Linked DNA regions of Anolis sagrei. The protein of the gene in region 1 interacts with the protein of each later gene in a biochemical or structural test. Links are inferred from orthologs where the notes say so. Each region holds a gene or a part of one and is shown on either strand. Other genes may lie near its edges.

The links.
Region 2: the proteins of NEDD4 (region 1) and MAP3K2 form a complex in vitro, tested with the Homo sapiens proteins (2 studies listed by BioGRID and IntAct, with this or other methods). The link is inferred for Anolis sagrei from reciprocal best matches to the Homo sapiens genes NEDD4 and MAP3K2.
Region 3: the proteins of NEDD4 (region 1) and GABARAP form a complex in vitro, tested with the Homo sapiens proteins (2 studies listed by BioGRID and IntAct). The link is inferred for Anolis sagrei from reciprocal best matches to the Homo sapiens genes NEDD4 and GABARAP.

Annotation. Positions count from the first base shown.
Region 1 is NC_090029.1:1,440,706-1,448,154, reverse strand, and holds the start of NEDD4 (E3 ubiquitin-protein ligase NEDD4), read right to left. Parts: upstream 3,104-7,449; 5' UTR 3,035-3,103; coding exon 1,841-3,034; intron 1-1,840. UniProt on the Homo sapiens protein: E3 ubiquitin-protein ligase which accepts ubiquitin from an E2 ubiquitin-conjugating enzyme in the form of a thioester and then directly transfers the ubiquitin to targeted substrates. Specifically ubiquitinates 'Lys-63' in target proteins.
Region 2 is NC_090021.1:226,541,020-226,548,665, forward strand, and holds the start of MAP3K2 (mitogen-activated protein kinase kinase kinase 2), read right to left. Parts: upstream 3,048-7,646; 5' UTR 2,609-3,047; intron 1-2,608. Other genes in the region: PECR (peroxisomal trans-2-enoyl-CoA reductase), read right to left, coding at 7,364-7,452. UniProt on the Homo sapiens protein: Component of a protein kinase signal transduction cascade. Regulates the JNK and ERK5 pathways by phosphorylating and activating MAP2K5 and MAP2K7. Plays a role in caveolae kiss-and-run dynamics.
Region 3 is NC_090026.1:4,431,498-4,438,591, forward strand, and holds the start of GABARAP (gamma-aminobutyric acid receptor-associated protein), read right to left. Parts: upstream 3,048-7,094; 5' UTR 2,941-3,047; coding exon 2,851-2,940; intron 1-2,850. UniProt on the Homo sapiens protein: Ubiquitin-like modifier that plays a role in intracellular transport of GABA(A) receptors and its interaction with the cytoskeleton.

The DNA of each region.
Region 1 (7,449 bases):
AAGAGTCCTTTGTCCCACCCTGGTCATTCCACAGATATATAAACCCATTGTCCTAATTCCAACAGACCTCACCACCTCTGAGGATGCTTGCCATAGATGCAGGCGAAACGTCAGGAGAAATGCTTCTAGAACATGGCCCTATAGCCCGAAAAAACCTACAACAACCCATTCACACCTAGTTCCAACAGACAAGAGTCCTTTGTCCCACCCTGGTCATTCCACAGATATATAAACCCATTGTCCTAATTCCAACAGACCTCACTACCTCTGAGGATGCTTGCCATAGATGCAGGCGAAACGTCAGGAGAGAATGCCTCTAGAACATGGCCACAGAGCCCGAAAAAACCTACAACAACCCATTCACACCTAGTTCCAACAGACAAGAGTCCTTTGTCCCACCCTGGTCATTCCACAGATATATAAACCCATTGTCCTAATTCCAACAGACCTCACCACCTCTGAGGATGCTTGCCATAGATGCAGGCGAAACGTCAGGAGAAATGCTTCTAGAACATGGCCCTATAGCCCGAAAAAACCTACAACAACCCATTCACACCTAGTTCCAACAGACAAGAGTCCTTTGTCCCACCCTGGTCATTCCACAGATATATAAACCCATTGTCTTAATTCCAACAGACTTCACCACCTCTGAGGATGCTTGCCATATGTGCAGGCGAAACGTCAGGAGAGAATGCCTCTAGAACATGGCCACAGAGCCCGAAAAAACCTACAACAACCCATTCACACCTAGTTCCAACAGACAAGAGTCCTTTGTCCCACCCTGGTCATTCCACAGATATATAAACCCATTGTCCTAATTCCAACAGACCTCACCACCTCTGAGGATGCTTGCCATAGATGCAGGCGAAACGTCAGGAGAGAATGCCTCTAGAACATGGCCACAGAGCCCGAAAAAACCTACAACAACCCATTCACACCTAGTTCCAACAGACAAGAGTCCTTTGTCCCACCCTGGTCATTCCACAGATATATAAACCCATTGTCCTAATTCCAACAGACCTCACCACCTCTGAGGATGCTTGCCATAGATGCAGGCGAAACGTCAGGAGAAATGCTTCTAGAACATGGCCCTATAGCCCGAAAAAACCTACAACAACCCATTCACACCTAGTTCCAACAGACAAGAGTCCTTTGTCCCACCCTGGTCATTCCACAGATATATAAACCCATTGTCTTAATTCCAACAGACTTCACCACCTCTGAGGATGCTTGCCATATGTGCAGGCGAAACGTCAGGAGAGAATGCCTCTAGAACATGGCCACACAGCCCGAAAAAACCTACAACAACCCATTCACACCTAGTTCCAACAGACAAGAGTCCTTTGTCCCACCCTGGTCATTCCACAGATATATAAACCCATTGTCCTAATTCCAACAGACGTCACCACCTCTGAGGATGCTTGCCATAGATGCAGGCGAAACGTCAGGAGAAATGCTTCTAGAACATGGCCCTATAGCCCGAAAAAACCTACAACAACCCATTCACACCTAGTTCCAACAGACAAGAGTCCTTTGTCCCACCCTGGTCATTCCACAGATATATAAACCCATTGTCCTAATTCCAACAGACCTCACAACCTCTGAGGATGCTTGCCATAGATGCAGGCGAAACGTCAGGAGAAATGCCTCTAGAACATGGCCATATAGCCCGGAAAAACCCACAAGAACCTAGTGATTCCAGCCATGAAAGCCTTCGACAATACAATAGCTGTTAGGCTTTTTGGGAGTTGAAGGCCCAAACATCTGGGGACCCACAGGTTGAGAACCACCGCTCTGGACTAAGTCCACCTGGTTCCACCTGAAAGGGACAGCAACTCACCTCTGGAGATGTCCCCAGTGCCAGGTGGGAGGGCGCTTGATTTTCAGGACCAAACTGGATCTGCAGGTGGGAGGCTCCTGCCCCAGGGTGGGACTGGAAAGCGGGCAAACGGGGTGCCGGGGGGCCCCCCAAGGAGACGCTCCTGTGGAGCCCGTGGGGGCCCCGGATCCTCCTTGCAGGGATTGCAGGAGAGTGATCTTCCTCGTTTGGGAGCTGCAAATGTGAGCAGGTCCGGGGAGAAGTGGGGTCAGGCGGATCCGGGGAGAAGTGGAGCGGGGTGCAGCGCCCTTGGTTTGGGGCGTCTTCCTCGGGCGAGGTCCAGCGCCTCCCCCACAAAGCGCTCTTTGGGCAGAGCGGTCGGACGTCCCGACTTCCGTTGGGTGGGGCGGCGCTGGGGGAGAGCCGGAAGCCATTCAGGATGGTGAGGAGCGACCCCGTGGAGGCCCCCTTGACCTCTCCCTCCGGAGGCAGCGAGGAGGGGGACAGCGGAGGGGTACTGCACGGACTCCGGGGGAAGATGACCAGCGAGGAGCACCGCTGCAAGGGACGCCTGCGCCCTTCCGCTGACGGCAACTTGGACACCCGCCCCACAGAGAGATTGTCCAAGGCCACTCTGGGTGCCCAAGCGGTCGCTCCAGGATCAGACTGACCGCCGGCAAACGTGGCTGCGTCCCCGGTGGAGAAGGCGCAGGTGCTGCCACTCTCGCTGATGACGCTGCTGCTGCCGCCACTGCAGGACCCTCCATCGCTGGTGGTGCTCACGCACGAGCCGCAGTCACTCCCCGCGCTGTCAGCAGCCCCTCTCTCGACGCAATTGACATCTGGGACGTCGATCAGACCGCTGCCGGCTGCTGACCGGTGAAGGGGCCGCCCAGGTCGCTCTCCTTCTCTCCTGGGGAAGTGGTCACCAAAAGGCGCCGGTGGGGAGTCCTCTCTGCCACCTTGGGTGCTCTGCAAGGAGATCCTCAGCAAGGCGCTCCTCTTGGGCTTCTGGGACGGAAGGGGCTCGGGGGCCGCGCAACCCAGGAGGGTTTGGGTACGACTCCACTCCTTCCCGGAAACGCCGCCCGCGTCTGGCTTCCCGTCAAACACACGGCTGGCCTCTTGGCCGAAAGGATCTCGGAGCGCCTCAGGGAACGGGTCAACGAGACTTCTTCGGGGGGCCAAGTGGAGTCTCAGCTGCCTCCTCGCCATGGCTCCGCATCTCCACAAACCTTGGAGAGGTGAGTAGTGAAGGTTGAAAACGGTCGCCGGTAGACTCTGAGGAAACAGACAAAGTTAAGGTGGACCTCCCAGCCCTTCTCCGGCCACGGTCCCCGAGTGGGCTTCTTCGGCGGAGGGCACCCTTGAGAGCGGACTTCTTCCCCGGAAGGCACCTTTGAGAGCGGGCTTCTTCCCCGGAGGGCACCCTTGAGAGAGGGCTTCTTCCCCGGAAGGCACCCTTGAGAGAAGAGCGGGCTGCTTTCCCGGAAGGCTCTCTTGAGAGCGGACTTCTTCCCCGGAAGGCACCCCTGAGAGCGGGCTTCTTTCCCGGAAGGCACCCTTGAGAGTGGGCTTCTTTCCTGGAAGGCACCCTTGAGAGCGGGCTTCTTCCCCGGAAGGCAGTCTTGAGAGCGGGCTTCTTCCCCGGAAGGCTCCCTTGAGAGCGGGCTTCTTCCCCGGAGGGCACCCTTGAAAGCGGGCTTCTTCCCCGGAAGGCTCCCTTGAGAGAAGAGCGGGCTTCTTTCCCGGAAGGCTCTCTTGAGAGCGGACTTCTTCCCCGGAAGGCACCTTTGAGAGCGGGCTTCTTCCCCGGAAGGCACCTTTGAGAGCGGGCTTCTTTCCCGGAAGGCACCCTTGAGAACGGACTTCTTTCCCGGAAGGCACCCTTGAGAGCGGGCTTCTTCTCCGGAGGGCACCCTTGAGAGCGGGCTTCTTTCCCGGAGGGCACCTTTGAGAGCGGGCTTCTTTCCCGGAGGGCACCCTTGAGAGCGGGCTTCTTCTCCGGAGGGCACCCTTGAGAGCGGGCTTCTTTCCCGGAGGGCACCTTTGAGAGCGGGCTTCTTTCCCGGAGGGCACCCTTGAGAGCGGGCTTCTTCTCCGGAGGGCACCCTTGAAAGCGGGCTTCTTCCCCGGAAGGCTCCCTTGAGAGAAGAGCGGGCTTCTTTCCCGGAAGGCTCTCTTGAGAGCGGACTTCTTCCCCGGAAGGCACCTTTGAGAGCGGGCTTCTTCCCCGGAGGGCACCCTTGAGAGAGGGCTTCTTCCCCGGAAGGCACCCTTGAGAGAAGAGCGGGCTGCTTTCCCGGAAGGCTCTCTTGAGAGCGGACTTCTTCCCCGGAAGGCACCCCTGAGAGCGGGCTTCTTTCCCGGAAGGCACCCTTGAGAGTGGGCTTCTTTCCTGGAAGGCACCCTTGAGAGCGGGCTTCTTCCCCGGAAGGCTCCCTTGAGAGCGGGCTTCTTCCCCGGAGGGCACCCTTGAAAGCGGGCTTCTTCCCCGGAAGGCTCCCTTGAGAGAAGAGCGGGCTTCTTTCCCGGAAGGCTCTCTTGAGAGCGGACTTCTTCCCCGGAAGGCACCTTTGAGAGCGGGCTTCTTCCCCGGAAGGCACCTTTGAGAGCGGGCTTCTTTCCCGGAAGGCACCCTTGAGAACGGACTTCTTTCCCGGAAGGCACCCTTGAGAGCGGGCTTCTTCTCCGGAGGGCACCCTTGAGAGCGGGCTTCTTTCCCGGAGGGCACCTTTGAGAGCGGGCTTCTTTCCCGGAGGGCACCCTTGAGAGCGGGCTTCTTCTCCGGAGGGCACCCTTGAGAGCGGGCTTCTTTCCCGGAGGGCACCTTTGAGAGCGGGCTTCTTTCCCGGAGGGCACCCTTGAGAGCGGGCTTCTTCTCCGGAGGGCACCCTTGAAAGCGGGCTTCTTCCCCGGAAGGCTCCCTTGAGAGAAGAGCGGGCTTCTTTCCCGGAAGGCTCTCTTGAGAGCGGACTTCTTCCCCGGAAGGCACCTTTGAGAGCGGGCTTCTTCCCCGGAAGGCACCTTTGAGAGCGGGCTTCTTTCCCGGAAGGCACCCTTGAGAACGGACTTCTTTCCCGGAAGGCACCCTTGAGAGCGGGCTTCTTCTCCGGAGGGCACCCTCGAGAGCGGGCTTCTTTCCCGGAGGGCACCTTTGAGAGCGGGCTTCTTTCCCGGAGGGCACCCTTGAGAGCGGGCTTCTTCTCCGGAGGGCACCCTTGAGAGCGGGCTTCTTCTCCGGAGGGCACCCTTGAAAGCGGGCTTCTTCCCCGGAAGGCTCCCTTGAGAGAAGAGCGGGCTTCTTTCCCGGAAGGCTCTCTTGAGAGCGGACTTCTTCCCCGGAAGGCACCTTTGAGAGCGGGCTTCTTCCCCGGAAGGCACCTTTGAGAGCGGGCTTCTTTCCCGGAAGGCACCCTTGAGAACGGACTTCTTTCCCGGAAGGCACCCTTGAGAGCGGGCTTCTTCTCCGGAGGGCACCCTCGAGAGCGGGCTTCTTTCCCGGAGGGCACCTTTGAGAGCGGGCTTCTTTCCCGGAGGGCACCCTTGAGAGCGGGCTTCTTCTCCGGAGGGCACCCTTGAGAGCGGGCTTCTTCTCCGGAGGGCACCCTTGAAAGCGGGCTTCTTCCCCGGAAGGCTCCCTTGAGAGAAGAGCGGGCTTCTTTCCCGGAAGGCTCTCTTGAGAGCGGACTTCTTCCCCGGAAGGCACCTTTGAGAGCGGGCTTCTTCCCCGGAAGGCACCTTTGAGAGCGGGCTTCTTTCCCGGAAGGCACCCTTGAGAACGGACTTCTTTCCCGGAAGGCACCCTTGAGAGCGGGCTTCTTCTCCGGAGGGCACCCTCGAGAGCGGGCTTCTTTCCCGGAGGGCACCTTTGAGAGCGGGCTTCTTTCCCGGAGGGCACCCTTGAGAGCGGGCTTCTTCTCCGGAGGGCACCCTTGAGAGCGGGCTTCTTCTCCGGAGGGCACCCTTGAAAGCGGGCTTCTTCCCCGGAAGGCTCCCTTGAGAGAAGAGCGGGCTTCTTTCCCGGAAGGCTCTCTTGAGAGCGGACTTCTTCCCCGGAAGGCACCTTTGAGAGCGGGCTTCTTCCCCGGAAGGCACCTTTGAGAGCGGGCTTCTTTCCCGGAAGGCACCCTTGAGAACGGACTTCTTTCCCGGAAGGCACCCTTGAGAGCGGGCTTCTTCTCCGGAGGGCACCCTCGAGAGCGGGCTTCTTTCCCGGAGGGCACCTTTGAGAGCGGGCTTCTTTCCCGGAGGGCACCCTTGAGAGCGGGCTTCTTCTCCGGAGGGCACCCTTGAGAGCGGGCTTCTTTCCCGGAGGGCACCTTTGAGAGCGGGCTTCTTTCCCGGAGGGCACCCTTGAGAGCGGGCTTCTTCTCCGGAGGGCACCCTTGAGAGCGGGCTTCTTCTCCGGAGGGCACCTTTGAGAACGGACTTCTTCTCCGGAAGGCACCCTTGAGAGCGGGCTTCTTCCCCGGAAGGCACCTTTGAGAGCGGGCTTCTTTCCCGGAAGGCACCCTTGAGAGAAGAGCGGGTTTCTTCCCCGGAAGGCACCCAAAGAGAGCGGGCTTCTTTCCCGGAAGGCACCCTTGAGAGCGGGCTTCTTCCCCGGAAGGCACCCTTGAGAGCGGGCTTCTTCCCTGGAAGGCACCCTTGAAAGCCCTCTCGTCTGCACTCAATCCTTTGCCGACTCACTCCAGCGAATTAACTCCAGGCCCGCTCTTCTTCGGAGAGACTCCTCCAGCCGAACGCAGGCTGAGCTTTCTTTAGCTCCGAGCAAACGAACAGAGGAACGAACGGCCGCTCATATTTTTACCCAGCGGTTTAGAGTTACAGGAAGTCAGGAGGAATGGAGTCCCACCTCATTATCAGATCCAAGGCTCAATTTTGAAAGATTAATCGGGTAAGGCTGCGCAAACGAAAGAGCGAGGACCCTCTCGGTCGGTCAGGAGAGCGTTATGAAAGCACTTACTGTGTTCAATTTAAAGAGGGAAAACGCTGCGGGTTTGTTTTGGTTTTTTTTGCAGGGAGGAGGGCAAATGCAACGGATTGCAAGCAAGGGAGACCCCGAAAATAAAAGCCAGAATGTCATGTCATGACCACATTTTGGACAGATTCAATCTCTGGGTCACTTCTGACAGCACCTCAGCATGTGTTGCTTTTCACCTCAAACTACAAGAAAGGAGATTCCATCTGAATATGAGGAAGAACTTCCTGACTGTGAGAGCCGTTCAGCAGTGGAACTCTCTGCCCCGGAGTGTGGTGGAGGCTCCCTCTTTGGAAGCTTTTAAACGGAGTCTGGATGGCCATCTGTCAGGGGTGATTTGAATGCAATATTACTGCTTCTTGGCAGAATGGGGTTGGACTGGATGGCCCAAGGAGGTCTCTGTTGGGGTTCAGCCTGAGTTTGAACTTGAACCTGATTCTCTGTTCCTCCTGTTGCTAATGAAAATATATTTACTGATGCTAATGGAAATGTACCTTTTGATGCCAATGCTCCTGAAATTAGTGAGGAAGAATCTGCTGTAGGTTTGGAAAATGCCAATGTTCCTGAAATTAGTGAGGAAGGGACTTCTGTAGATTTGGGAAATGAAAGTCCCAGTGTTCATGAGAATGTTTCAGAGGGAGACCTT
Region 2 (7,646 bases), on another chromosome or scaffold:
ATTCCATCTTAAATTGCAGGCGCAAGGTGTCATCCCTTTGCAACCATGTACTGCCCGCTTATCAAAGCACAAGAGTTACAAACTTCACGAAGTTCTTCTTGCCATTTTGCCATACTTAATCCTGTCAAGAGTGCATACTTATTTTTTTTTGGGGGGGGGGCATACCCAAAGTAATAACATCCAGAATTATATGTTGTTAAGGATACATATATACATATACGTACACACACAAAGGTCAACATACATAGGGCATATGGGAAATTGTAGCTCAATACATTTTTATTTACAAAATACTCATTACAAAATTTTACAAAATGTTCTTTACATGTCATAGTAAGATAGAATGAAGAAACGGTCTAAAATTATAAGATGAGCTGGTTCATAATATATTCATTGTGTGTCTTTGAAATGGGAGATGGATAGTACATTTCAATGTTTTAGTTTAATCATTTCAGTTGTTTTTCAATGGTGCAGGTTGCAGAAGTTAGTTTAAATCAATTTACAGGCAGTCCCCAAGTTACAAACATTTTATTTACAAACGATTCATGGTTAAGAACAGGGATGAGACAACAGGAAATGAGAGAAATCTATCCCTCAGAAATAAAATTCATTCCTGGAGAATTATTGTGGTGTCTCAACTGAAGCTTTCTCACCAATCCTTGTTTCCACAACAAGAATTTTTTTCAAAGTCCAATTATCATAGGGGCTGAAAGTTAGATGCAATCTTCTGAGCAGGGGCACAGATAACAAAACAAACACCACAGGAGTGGTAACCCTTCCCCGTGCTATCCAAAGCATGCATGCATGTCTGTAAGCTACATTTTTAAAATGTGCCTGTTCCAACTTACATACAAATTCAACTTAAGAACAAACCTACAAAACCGCTCTTGCTCATAACTTGGGGATTGCCTATATATAGCGATGTAAGTCATATAGGGGAAATATTTTTTTATAAATTGTCTAATAATACTTAATTAAAAAAATTAAAAAAATAAATATAAAAAGTAAAAACATTGTCTGCGTACTATATATTTGCAAGAATAAATTTAAATGCATGTGTAATATAGATAAAATATAATATGTCTGTTAATTTTTCATACGTCTAAAGACTTTTGGGACACCCTTTATACACACACACATTTGAAGGAGGAATACCAAAAGTAATAATGCCCAGAATTATATGCTGTCAAGGATGTATGCATATGTTTGTGTATACATGTGTATTCATGTGTATTTATGTGTGTGAACTCCTCAAAGGCAATGCACAGAAGCAATGGGTGGGAAGGGACTGCAAGGGCCATAGAGTCCAGCATCCCGTTACTCAGCCACACACAACTAAAGCACTCCTGAGAGATGCTCAGAGCCCTTCCACACAGCCATACAACCCAGAATATCAAGGTAGATATGTGCTTTGAGCTGGGTTATCTGAATCCACACTGCCATATAATCCAGTTGGGTGTGATTTTATACAGCTGTGTGGAAGGGGCCTAAAATCTCCATACATATACATGCATCCTTAACATATATAACATATCATTCTGGGTATTATTACTTTTGTTATCCCTCCCCGTACCCCCCAAAACACATCGAGAATATGTTGTAAATATTTTGTATATTGAGCTACCCTTTCCCTTTGTAAGCCATCCCAAGTCCCCTAGAGGAGATGGTGGCAGGATATAAATAAAGTTTATTATTATTATTATTATTATTATTCTGCTCTGTTAAAGGAGGAAACAAACATAGCTAGCAGCCACAGTCACTGCTTGTCCATGAATATCTCCAGTTACTTTCTAAACTCATCTGCTATTAATGTACAATATACACCAGGGGTCCTCAAAGTAAGGCCCGGGGGCCAGATACAGCCCTCCAAGCTCATTTACCTGGCCCTCGCTCAGGGTCAACCTAAGTCTTAAACAACTTGAAAGCACACAACAACAACAACAACAACAACAACAACCCTATCTCATCAGCCAAAAGCAGGCCCACACTTCCCATTGAAATATGAATAATTTTATATTTGTTAAAATTGTTCTTCATTTTAATTAATGTATTTTAAGTGTTTTTGCACTACTAATAAGATATATGCAGTGTGCATAGGAATTCATTCATTTTTTTCAAATTATAATCCGGCCCTCCAACAGTTTGAGGGACTGTGATCTGGCCCTCTGTTTAAAATGTTTGTGGACCCCTGATATACACACTTGAGATCCAAGTGCAAAAGTATTTGCACTCAGGTAAAACCAGCAGGAAGGAGAGGAGAGAACGGGGGATCATGCCCTTCTCTGGAGACACAGGAAAAATCAAACTGCTTCTCCTGGCTTGGTGTGTTGGCATCTTGACCATTTTCTGATGGTGCTTGGCCACAGATGTCCCAGTTTCCATCTTTGAAATGTGACTGGAAATAGCCAGGACAACCTGTATGTGCACAGATATGTGTGCAATGCACATACATACATGCATGTTGTATGGACACACACACACACACACACATTTTAAAAATGTCAGACCAAAATACCATAAGTAAATAGATTTGCCTTAGAGGCAACACCCTCCCAAATATATACACACACAAGGATCCCAGAAATCAAAACACACGCACGCTTCGTACCTGTGAGGAGGAGGAGGAGGCGGGCAAACTCCCCCAAGGCCTCCAGGGCCTCCACACTGGAAGGGTCCAGGTCCCCGGCTTGTCCCAGGAAACAGGCAAAGGGGAGGGAGGGAGGAATGAGAGAAGGAAGGCGAGCTGGCAGCCCCGTCCCAATAAGCAGAGAACAACACGGAAAGAGAGGCGAGAAGGGAGAAGGGTGGACGAGGAAGGGGGGGAAGAGAATGGCGGCCTTGTCGTTGCCGTTCACCGCCTGAGCCTCGCGCCTTTCCACGGGGAGGGGGGCACTACGAAGAGTTCGCGGAAGGCCCCACTCCGTCCCTCTTTCCTTCTTGAACCCTGCGGGCCGCCGTCACCTCTCCGGCCCCAGCTTTTTCCCTCCCCCTGTTCTATTTTTCCTCCTCAAGCGCTCTCTCTCTAACTCCGCCTCCTTCCCCTTACGCAGAACCCCTGACGTAGAGCACGTCGACGTCGTTACGTATTTACTTCGCAAGGAGAAAAAGTGTCATCGCCGCGGGGATTTCCCTTGGAATTATGGGATGGGTAGTTTTCTAAAAGCGTCCCGACGCTAGCTAAGTATTGGAATCCCTGGCTAGCAAAACTACAAAGCCCAGGAATCCTCTGAGTGTAACTGTGTGATAGGATTACATCCTTTGTAGTTCCGAGGTTTTTTTAAAATGGTTTTCGCACATATGGCGATGTGAGATGTCCTCATGTTTTCCAGACGTTTGGGAATTTTAGGGTGCTTCCACCCTCGAATGGAGCCCCCGGTAGCGCAGTGGGTTAAAAGCTGGATGGCCATCTGTCGGGAGTGCTTTGAATACAATTTTCCTGCTTCTAGGCAGGGGGTTGGACCGGATGGCCCTGGAGAGCTCTTCCAACTTTATGATTCTATGAAACCGCGGAGCTGCTGAACGTGCTAACCGAAAAGTCGCAGGTTCGAATCCGAGGAGCGGGGTAAGCTCCCGCTGTTAGCTCCAGCTTCTGCTAATCAAGCAGTTCGAAATGTGAGTAGATCAATAGATACCACTTCTGCGGGAAGGTGACGGCCCTCCATGCAGTCATGCCGGCCGCATGAACTTGGAGGTGTCTACGGACAACACCAGCTCTTCGGCTTAGAAATAGTGATGAGTTTCAACCCTCAGAGTCGGACATGGCTAGACTTAATGTCAGGGAAGAAAACCCTTTTCACTGCCACGGCTGAATACTGTGGAATCATAGTTTTACGAGTCTTCAACCTTCCCTGCCCAAGAGTGCTGGAGCCTGAGCAAAATACATTGAGCCATGGCAGATAAAGTGGTGTCGAAGCGGATTAATTCGACAGTGCAGATGCCTCATCACACTTGAGCATTTTCCCACTTCAATCCACTTTAAATGCTGTGACTTTAGAATTCTGGGGCTTGTAGATTAAGGGAGGCCCAGGGCCACAAAACTACAAAACTCAGGATCTCGTTTATGTTCTCGTACCTGTAGATTCCTGTTCATGTAGATTCAGATATTGATTGGGTTGCATTATATGTGTGTGTTGTGGACTATCTGGATAATTTGTTTAATAATGTTATTTGTATACTTTTATCTTGTATTACCTCTTTCTTCCTCTTTTCTTACTCGCTCTGCTTGTATTAAAGATCAGAAGCTCAACTGTCTCTGCAGCCCTTGGCCTATTTCTATTGGCGCCTCTTACTTCCTTTCCTTGGTATTATTTTTAAATGGTGCGCGAACCTGGAATATCGCGACTTTCAGCCATGCATCTTTCTCATAGTTTCCTAGCTCTATCTGCCAGTGGCGTTCTTCCGCGTTGTGTGAGCGACGCTACTCATGGAAATAGCCGCTCCACTTGTAGCCACGGACGAGCCAGGCGCATGCGCAGCTTCTGTAGCCTCTCCGCTTTCTACACGGATGAATGTGGGCGCATGCGCAGCATCGTCACTGTTTACTTTTCATGTCAGGCATTGGAAAGGGAAGTAGATTCAGGATTTATCTTCACTGTGGAATGAATTTAGTTTGGCACCACTTTAATTGCCATGGCTCGATGTTACAGAATCCTGACAGCTATAGTTTTACAATGTTTTTTCTGCCAACAAACTACAAATCCCATGATTCCATAGCAGTGAGGCAAGTGGTGCCAAACTGGAATACAATAATTCTACAGTGTAGATGTGCCCAGAGTAGTAACCTAAAAGTATGTATTAAATATACTTGATGGTAGTCAGTTTGGTTATTTAGTTTTTATTAATAAGGATTCCACTGACAGCTTAAAGTAACCACTTTTGCAGTATAATACATTGTTTAGATATGCAGATGATACCACTTTGATGGCCGAAAGCGAGGAGGAGCTGAGGAGCCTTCTAATCAAGGTGAAAGAAGAAAGTGCATAAGCTGGGTTGCAGTTAAATATTTAAAAAAAACCAAGATTATGGCAACCGGACTGACTGATAACTGGGAAATAGAGGGAGAAAACGTGGAGACTGTGACAAACTTTGTATTTCTAGGTGCAAAGATTACTGCAGACGCAGCCTGCAGCCAGGAAATCAGAAGAAGTTTACTTCTTGGGAGGAGAGCAATGTCCAATCTCGATAAAATAGTGAAGCGTAGAGACATTACACTGGCAACGAAGATCTGCATAGTTAAAGCAATGGTATTCCCCACAGTCACCTACGGATGTGAGAGCTGGACCATAAGGAAGACTGAGCAAAGGAAGATAGATGCTTTTGAATTGTGGTGTTGGAGGAAAATTATGAGAGTGCCTTGGACCACGAGAAGATCAAGCCAGTCCATATTTAGCCCAACTGCTCACTGGAGGGAAGGATAGTAGAGGCAAAGATGAAGTACTTTGGCCACATAATGAGAAGGCAGGAAAGCTTGGGGAAGACAATGATACTGGGGAAAATGGAAGGAAAAGGGAAGAGGGGCCGACCAAGAGCAAGATGGATGGATGGTATCATTGAAGTGACTGGCTTGACTCTGAAGGAGCTGGGGGAGGTGACGGCCGACAGGGAGCTCTGGCATGGGCTGGTCCATGAGGTCACGAAGAATCAGAAGTGACTGAACGAATAAATAACAATACATTGCTGCAAAACAGATATAGGTTGAATTGCTCTTATCAAAAATACTTGGGACCAGAACTGTGTTGGATTCCCCCCCCCCCCCCCAGATTTTTTAGATACCTACCTTTACATAAATGTACATAATGAGAAATCTTGGAGATGGAACATGTCTAAACAGGAAATTGGTGTTTCATATATACCTTATGCACATAGCCTGAAGGTAATTTTGTGTACAGTATTTTTTTTTAAATAATGTGCATGAAGCAATGTTTTCTACATCAGAAAGCAAAGTAGTCACTCTCAGCTACATATGTTGATAATTTTGGAATACTTTGGATTTCCAAACAAGGGATGCTCAACCTCTATCGAATTTTACAACTTCTATTTGTTGTGAAATTTAAACAGGTCTGTTTAAAATGTTTTCAATGTATTACAGACTTTGGACCATTGCATTACATGGCAGGAAATTTTGGAAAGACTTACTGGTAACATAACCTTTTGGCAATACCTTTAAAGATACTCCTGACCAGTTGGACTTTGTCAGAAGCTTAATAGTACACTTGTAACATCTAGGTATGCATCTATATTGCAGGATTAATACAGTTTGAAGCCACTTTAATTGTCATAGCTCAGTGCTATGAAATCCTGGAACTTGTAGTTTGGTAGGGCACCAGTATCCTTTAACAGAAGTCAAAGACCTTGTAAAGCTAAACCTTCAATGATTCCATAGCATTGAGCTATAGGAGTGTAAGTAGTGTCAAACTGGATCAATTATACACCATAGCTGCGCCCCAGAGTCTTCTTCCTACTGCCTTTCAATCTGAAGCATTTTTCCTTTAAAAGTGCCTTGCATTTAGCCCCACTCATCATATCCAATTGCTATATTTCCTCCTTTTTTGCAAATTTCAGGAAAGTTTTCTTCCCCTAAATCATTGGTACGAAACCAATGCAACTTGTAAACTTATTAAACTGAACATTACCTTTCTTGGTCAACACTGAGAAATAAACTCTCATCTCATAAAATTATATGACACAAGGAAACATAGTCACAATTGCCTTCATGGATAAAGATAGAGGCATTTCTCCTTATCGCAAATTGAAAAATAAGAGTTCATTGATTTAGCAATCTGCAGAAATTGTGGGCTACAACTAAGATCACCCCAAGCCAACAAGGCTCAGTATGGCACAGACAATGTCTACAGGCTTCCTGAGAGACCTTCTCATTTAAAACAAATTTGAACACAGATTTAAGTAATCAGTTTATTGCACATTAACATCTTTCAACTTTAAGAGTTCAGGCATGCATTGGAGTAATCAGTGCAAAGCAGTCAGAGAGCACAAGATAACAGACTATAGACCTTTGGCCTTGTTCTCCTGAATTCCTTGTTATTAGAACATATTCTAAAGAACTGTCATTAAAGCAGGAAGAGTTTAAATTGCAAACAGAAAAGTCATGAGGAGCATATTTTTGTTAACGAGATCCAAGACAGTAACAGCACATGTTAATAAATGGTGATTTTTGGACAACTGTCCTTAGACAGAATTTGCACAAGGCATTTATTATAAAAACTATAGTACATCTGTTATAAAAACAAATGTACAGGGTTTGTATCTCTATAAGGCAGAGTTCATTATGAAAAGTTAAAATCTATTGCAGAAAGGCAATTCATTGTTGACAAGAATGGCAAGGGACTAACCCCAAGTTATTGATTTATAGTTTTGATTGAGATTTTCCTGAAAACATCCTTTTCAGTGATTTCCAGTTCTCTCCATCTGGAGCAGGTGGCCACCTGTTATGATCTATAAGAACGGATAAAACATACGTCGTTATTTTGGAAAGCAAACTACTGCCAAATCCATATCTCAAAGTAACAGTTTCCTTAAAGCAAAGACTAAGACTTAAAGACAGTAGGTTGAAATTATTTATTGAATGCCCGAGAATGTATTAGATTGACTTCAGTATATATTACTTTTCAAGAATGAAGGTTGAGTTA
Region 3 (7,094 bases), on another chromosome or scaffold:
CATTATTATTGTCATTATTATTTCTGCTTTTATCACTATCGATCTAGCATTACAATACACAAGCTATACATATCAGCATTTTTAAATTATCATTATTATTATATTCTGCTTTATCCCTATCAGCTCAGCAATAAAATCCACAATATATACATTTTAAAATGGAAGTAAACATATACATCAGCATTATTATCATTATTACTATTATTATATTCTGCTTTTATCCCTATTGACTCATTGTTAAAATCTGCAATATATACATAGTAGCCATCCCCTGACAATGTTGCTGTGGCCCAGTCTGTGTACACGTCTTTGTGTGTGTATATACGTATATGTGTGTTTGTGTATATATGTGGTTTTACGCATGCATTGTACTGTATTTTTTGGTTTTTGGCTTTTAAAGTCTTTTGTGCTGTGTTTTTCAGTGTTTTTATGAGTCACTTGTTGGCATGATAGGTGTCTTGTGTCCAAATTTGGTGTCAATTTATCCAGTGGTTGTTGAGTTATGTTAATCCCATAAGTGGACATTATGTTTTTATTTATATAGATTAAAATGGAAGTAAACCTATATATCAGCATTATTATCACTATTATTATATTCTGATTTTATACCTGTTGACTCAGCATTAAAATCCACAATATAAACATATCAGCATTATTACTATATTGTTTTTATCCCTATCGACTGAGCATTAAAATCCACAATATATACATACCAGCATTATCATATCATATTCTGCTTTTATCCCTATTGACTCAGTGTTAAAATCTGCAATACTGTATAAACATATCAGCATTATCTTGTCTGTTGGAGCTAGGTGTGAATGTTTCAACTGACCACCTTGATTAGCATTTGATGGCCTGGCAGTTGTTTGGTGTGGCTTGTTGGTGCCTGGGGCAATCTTTTGTTGAGAGGTGATTAGATGTGCCTGATTGTTTCCTCTCTGTTGTTTTGCTGTTGTAATTTTAGAGTTTTTTTTAATACTGGTATTAAAACAGACAAGAGTCCTTTGTCCCACCCTGGTCATTCCACGGATATATAAACAATTTTCCTAGTTCCAACAGACCTCACTACCTCTGGGGATGGCTGCCATAGATGCAGGCGAAACGTCAGGAGAAAATGCCTCTAGAACATGGCCATATAGCCCGAAAAAACCTACAACAACCCATTATTATTATATTCTGTTTTTATCCCTATCGACTCAGCATTAAAATCCACAATATAAACATATCAACATTATTATTCTTATCATTATCCGCTTTCATCCCTATCGACTCAGCATTAAAATCTGCAATAAAAACATATCAGCATTATCATTATTATTATATATCAGTATTATCGTTATTATATTCTGTTTTTATCCCTGTCGACTCAGCATTAAAATCCGCAATATAAACATATCAACATTATTATTATTATTATTATTATTATTATTATTATTATTATCCACTTTCATCCCTATCGGCTCAGCATTAAAATCTGCAATAAAAACATATCAGCATTATCATCATTATTATGATAGGGTAGATATCCCTATTGACCCACAATATATATATATCACCATTATCATTATCATTATAATATGGTTTTTATTCCTATAGACCCACAATATATATATATCACCATTATTATTATATTGTTTTTATCCCTATCAACTCAGCATTAAAATCCACAATATATACATATATCAGCATTATCATTATTATTATATTGTTTTTATCCCTATCATCTCAGCATTAAAATCCAATATATATATATATATATATATATATATATATATCAGCATTATCATTATTATATTCTTATATTTTATTATATATACACACCAGTATTCGTATCATTATCATATTCTGCAAAGTGGCTCAGAGCATTAAAATCCACAATATATATATATCAGCATTATCATTATTGTTATTATATTGTTTTTATCCCTATCATCTCAGCATTAAAATCCAAAATATATATATCAGCATTATCATTATTATATTCTTATATTTTATTATATATACACACCAGTATTCGTATCATTATCATATTCTGCAAAGTGGCTCAGAGCATTAAAATCTAATACATATATATCAGCATTATCATTATTATATTGTTTTATTCCTATCAACCCGGCATTAAAATCCACAATACATATATCAGCATTATCATTATTACTATATTGTTTTTATCCCTATCGACTCAGCATTAAAATCCACAATATATACATATATCAGCATTATCATTATTATTATATTGTTTTTATCCCTGTCATCTCAGCATTAAAATCCAAAATATATATATCAGCATTATCATTATTATATTCTTATATTTTATTATATATACACACAACAGTATTCGTATCATTATCATATTCTGCAAAGTGGCTCAGAGCATTAAAATCCACAATATGTAAGGATTGAAATAGAAGTAAACATAGACATCAATAACAGTATTATTATTATTATTATTATTATTATTACTATTATCATGCCATTTCTATACTCTATAATCAGGCATGGGCGGACTTGGGCCCTCCAGGTGTTTTGGACTACAACTCCCACAATTCCTAGCAGCCTCAGGCCCCTTCTTTTTCCCCTTCAGCCGCTTTAGCGGCTGAAGGGGAAAAAGAAGGGGCCTGAGGCTGCTAGGAATTGTGGGAGTTGTAGTCCAAAACACCTGGAGGGCCCAAGCTCGCCCATGCCTACTCTACATGGTTATTATTGTTCTATATATGATAATAGTGGTAGTAATACAGGGAGGCTGGGCTGAGGCCTAGGCCTGAGGCGCCCAACAAGGAAGGGAAGGGAAGGGAAGGAAGGGCCTATTTTTCCCCTCCAATCCCTGCTATGATTGTCTCTCCTCACCGGGACTCGGTCCGGGTACTTCTTGCGGATCTTCTCCCCCTCAGAGCGGCGCTTCTCGAAGGGGTGCTCCTCCTTGTAGACGAACTTCATGGCGGCGGCGGAGGCTGAGGCGACGAGGCTGACGGGCGAGGCCGGCGGAGGGGGACACAGGAGAAGGAGGAGGAGACGCGGCCCGCTCTCCACAACAGACGCCACCGCGCACGCGCAGTCCGGCCTCCTCCCCGCCTTCGCCCGCCGAGCCGCGGAGGGATACGCCCAGAGCGAGGGGACTCGTTTTTCTCCGCTACGGAAACGGCGTAGCGCTCCCTCAGGGCGCCCCTTCGTCAGTAGCGTAAGTTGCGTTTGAGAATTCAGCACTTCGCGCAGCTGGTTATGACTGGACCGTCGAACTCCTCCCCTAGTGGCCTTCCGCCGAGAGTGACGTCACGCACCAAAACAAAGTAGTCCCGAAAGCTTTTCTCCGCTTCTCCTTCCGCCGCTCCGGATTTTAAAGGGACAGACATCTTTATACCGTTATCTGATTTTAAACCGACATCTTTATACCGGTATCGGATTTAAAAAAAAGCAAAAGCAAAGGAGGAACTGAAACGCGGAAGGATCCGGGTCCGAGGCGAGGTGAGGTAAAGCGTCCTGTCATGTGGCTGACGTCAGCGGAGAGGAATTGTCACGTGCACTCACACCCCCGCGAAGTAGTCCCGGCGGGAGGGAGGGGCTGGTGACGTGAAGGGGCGTGGCCAAGGAATAGGGGTGGGGTTTCCCTCATTGCTTCGCGCAGGCGCAGAAAGAAAAGCTTCTTCTAGCCTTGAACTCCCATCATTGTCACTATTGAGACTGGACTGGGATCAAAGGAATTGAGGATTATTGGTTGATATAGATATTATATATATATATATGTGTGTGTGTGTGTGTGTGTATATATATAAATATTACATTAACCTATAATATATAATAATATAGAATTGTGTGTGTGTGTATATATATACACATCCACCTATAATATAGAATAATGTATATATACATCTACCAATATTTATATATATATATATATATATATATATATATATATATATATATATATATATATATATATATAATTCTGTGTGTGTGTGTGTATATATATAGGTGCATCCACCTATAATATAGAATAGTTTGTATATATACATCCACCAATATATATAGAATTGTGTGTGTGTTAGTGTATATATACATCTACGAATATACAATATAGAATTGTGTGTGTGTGTGTATATATGTATAAGTGCATCCACCTATAGTATAGAATAGTGTATATATACACTATAGTGTGTGTGTATATATATACAGTGTGTGTGTATATATATACATCCTCCAATATATAATATAGAATAGTGTGTATGTATATATATATAGGTGCATCCACCTATAATATAGAATAGTGTGTATATATATACATCCTCCAATATATAATATAGAATAGTGTGTGTGTGTGTATATATAGGTGCATCCACCTATAATATAGAATAGTGTATATATATATATACATCCATCAATATATAATATAGAATTGTGTGTGTGTGTATATATGCATCCACCTATAATATAGAATAGTGTTGTATATATACATCCACCAATATATAATATAGATTTTGTGTGTGTGTGTGTATAGGTGCACCCACCTATAATATTGAATAGTGTGTATATATACACCCACAAATATATAATATAGAATTGGGTGTGTATATATTGTGTGTATATATATAGGTGCATCCACCTATAATATAGAATAGTGTGTATATATGCATTCACCAATATGTAATACAGAATTGTGTTGTTGTGTATATATAGGTGCATCCACCTATAATATAGAATAGGGTATATATACATCCACCAATATATAATCTAGAATAGTGTGTGTGTGTGTGTGTATAGGTCCATCCACCTATAATATAGATTACTAGTGTATATATATACATCCACCAATATATAATATAGAATTGTGTATGTGTGTGTGTGTATATATATATATAGGTGCATCCACCTATAATATAGAGTAGTGTTGTATATATACATCCACCAATATATAATATAGATTTTGTGTGTGTGTGTGTGTGTATAGGTGCACCCACCTATAATAAAGAATAGTGTATATATACATCCACCAAAATATAATATAGAATTGTGTGTGTGTGTATATATATATATGTGCATCCACCTATAATATAGAATAGTGTGTATATATGCATTCACCAATATGTAATATAGAATTGTGGGTGTGTGTATATATATGTGTGCATCCACCTATAATATAGAATAGTGTATATATACATCCACCAATATATAATATAGAATTGTGTGTGTGTATATATATAGGTGCATCCACCTATAATATAGAATAGTGTGTATATATATACATTCACCAATATAGAATTGTGTGTGTGTATATATATTGGTGCATCCACCTATAATGAAGAATAGTGTGATATATACATCCACCAAAATATAATATATAGAGTGTGTGTGTGTGTGTATATATCTAGGTGCATCCACCTATAATAGTGTTTATATATACATCCACCAATACAGAATTGTGTGTGTGTGTGTGTATATATATATATATATAGGTGCATCCACCTATAATATAGAATAGTGTGTGTATATATACATCCACCAATATATAATATAGAATTGGGCCAAACCTCCCACACAGAAACCCCATGTGGGCCACAGCAACACCTGGCAGGGGACGGCTAGTAAGTGTGTATATATATATGTGTGTGTGTGTGTGTGTGTATATATATATATATATATATAACAACCTATGTAAGTTATACATATGATATATATGTTTTATTATTTTATTACTGTTGCTTCATTGTGTATTATTTTGATATGTTTGTACTCAGGGAGAGAGGGCAGTCCAAAAATAAAGTTTTATTATATATTATATTATTATTATTATTATTATTATTATTATTATATTGGTGAATGTACAATGGATTGGTGAAAGAAGACGTTTGAAAAACAAGGAAGTATTTAGAAATAAATTGTTGAAATACAGTAAGATTAATTTAAATTCAGAGGGAATAAGGATACTACGAAGGTGATGAGTTAAATATGAATTTAGAAGACAAAATGGATAAATGGGGTTGACATGAATGTTAAATTCATGCTAAATCATAATAATGTTGCAATAGGTTGGTTTATATTTAGCAGAAGCCGAAATGCAATTTCGTAGAACAAGAAGTATATGTAATAAGTTGGTGGCCTTTGCTTAGGGAGGACCAATGTAAGTTAATTTTGTTTACTATTTTATGTTACAAAGGGGGAGGGATAGAAGCTAGTTGTTAAGTGTTTGTTGGAATATTATGGAGTGATTTTTTTTTCATACTGCATCCTTTGCTTTGCTTCTTAGTTCCGTGTTTGTTGTTTCCTTTATATTTCTGCTTTGTTGTGAAAATGGAATAAAAATTAATTTGAAAGACGACCAAAGCTGCAAAGCGTGGTATTCCCCCCCCCCCCCCCAAATAAGGCCCTCCTTGGGAGGAATCTTGCCACTCTCTAAGGGCAAATGGACTGCAACACCCATCGTTCTGCTCCCATTTTGGCCAATGGGAGTTGTTGTTACATCACAGGCACATAAGGTTCACACAGGAGATAGATTTTAGAGAAGCAGAGGGACGTCTGCATTGTAGAATTAATGCAGTTTGACCCCACTTGAACTACAAGGGCTACAATGGGATCCTAGGAGTTGCAGTTTGTCGAGGGTTTTTTTTTTTTTGCCAAATAATGCCAAACTACAACTCCCAGGATGCCATTGCATTGAGCCACGGAAGTCCAAGTGGCGTCAAACTGCATTAAGTGGCGTCAAACTGCATTAAGTCTACAGTACAGGTTCAGCTGTACTCATCAAGAGGAGCATAGTGTCTAGATCTAGGGAAGTCATGCTCCCCATGCTCTATTCCGCCTTGGTTAGACCACACCTGGAATACTGTGTCCAATTCTGGGCACCACAATTCAAGAGAGATATTGACAAGCTGGAATGTGTCCAGAGGAGGGCGACTAAAATGATCAGGGGTCTGGAGAACAAGCCCTATGAGGAGCGGCTTAAGGAGCTGGGCATGTTTAGCCTGAAGAAGAGAAGGCTGAGAGGAGATATGATGATAGCTATGTATAAATATGTGAGAGGAAGCCACAGGGAGGAGGAGGGAGCAAGCTTGTTTTCTGCTTCCCTGGAGACTAGGACGCAATGGAACAATGGCTTCAAA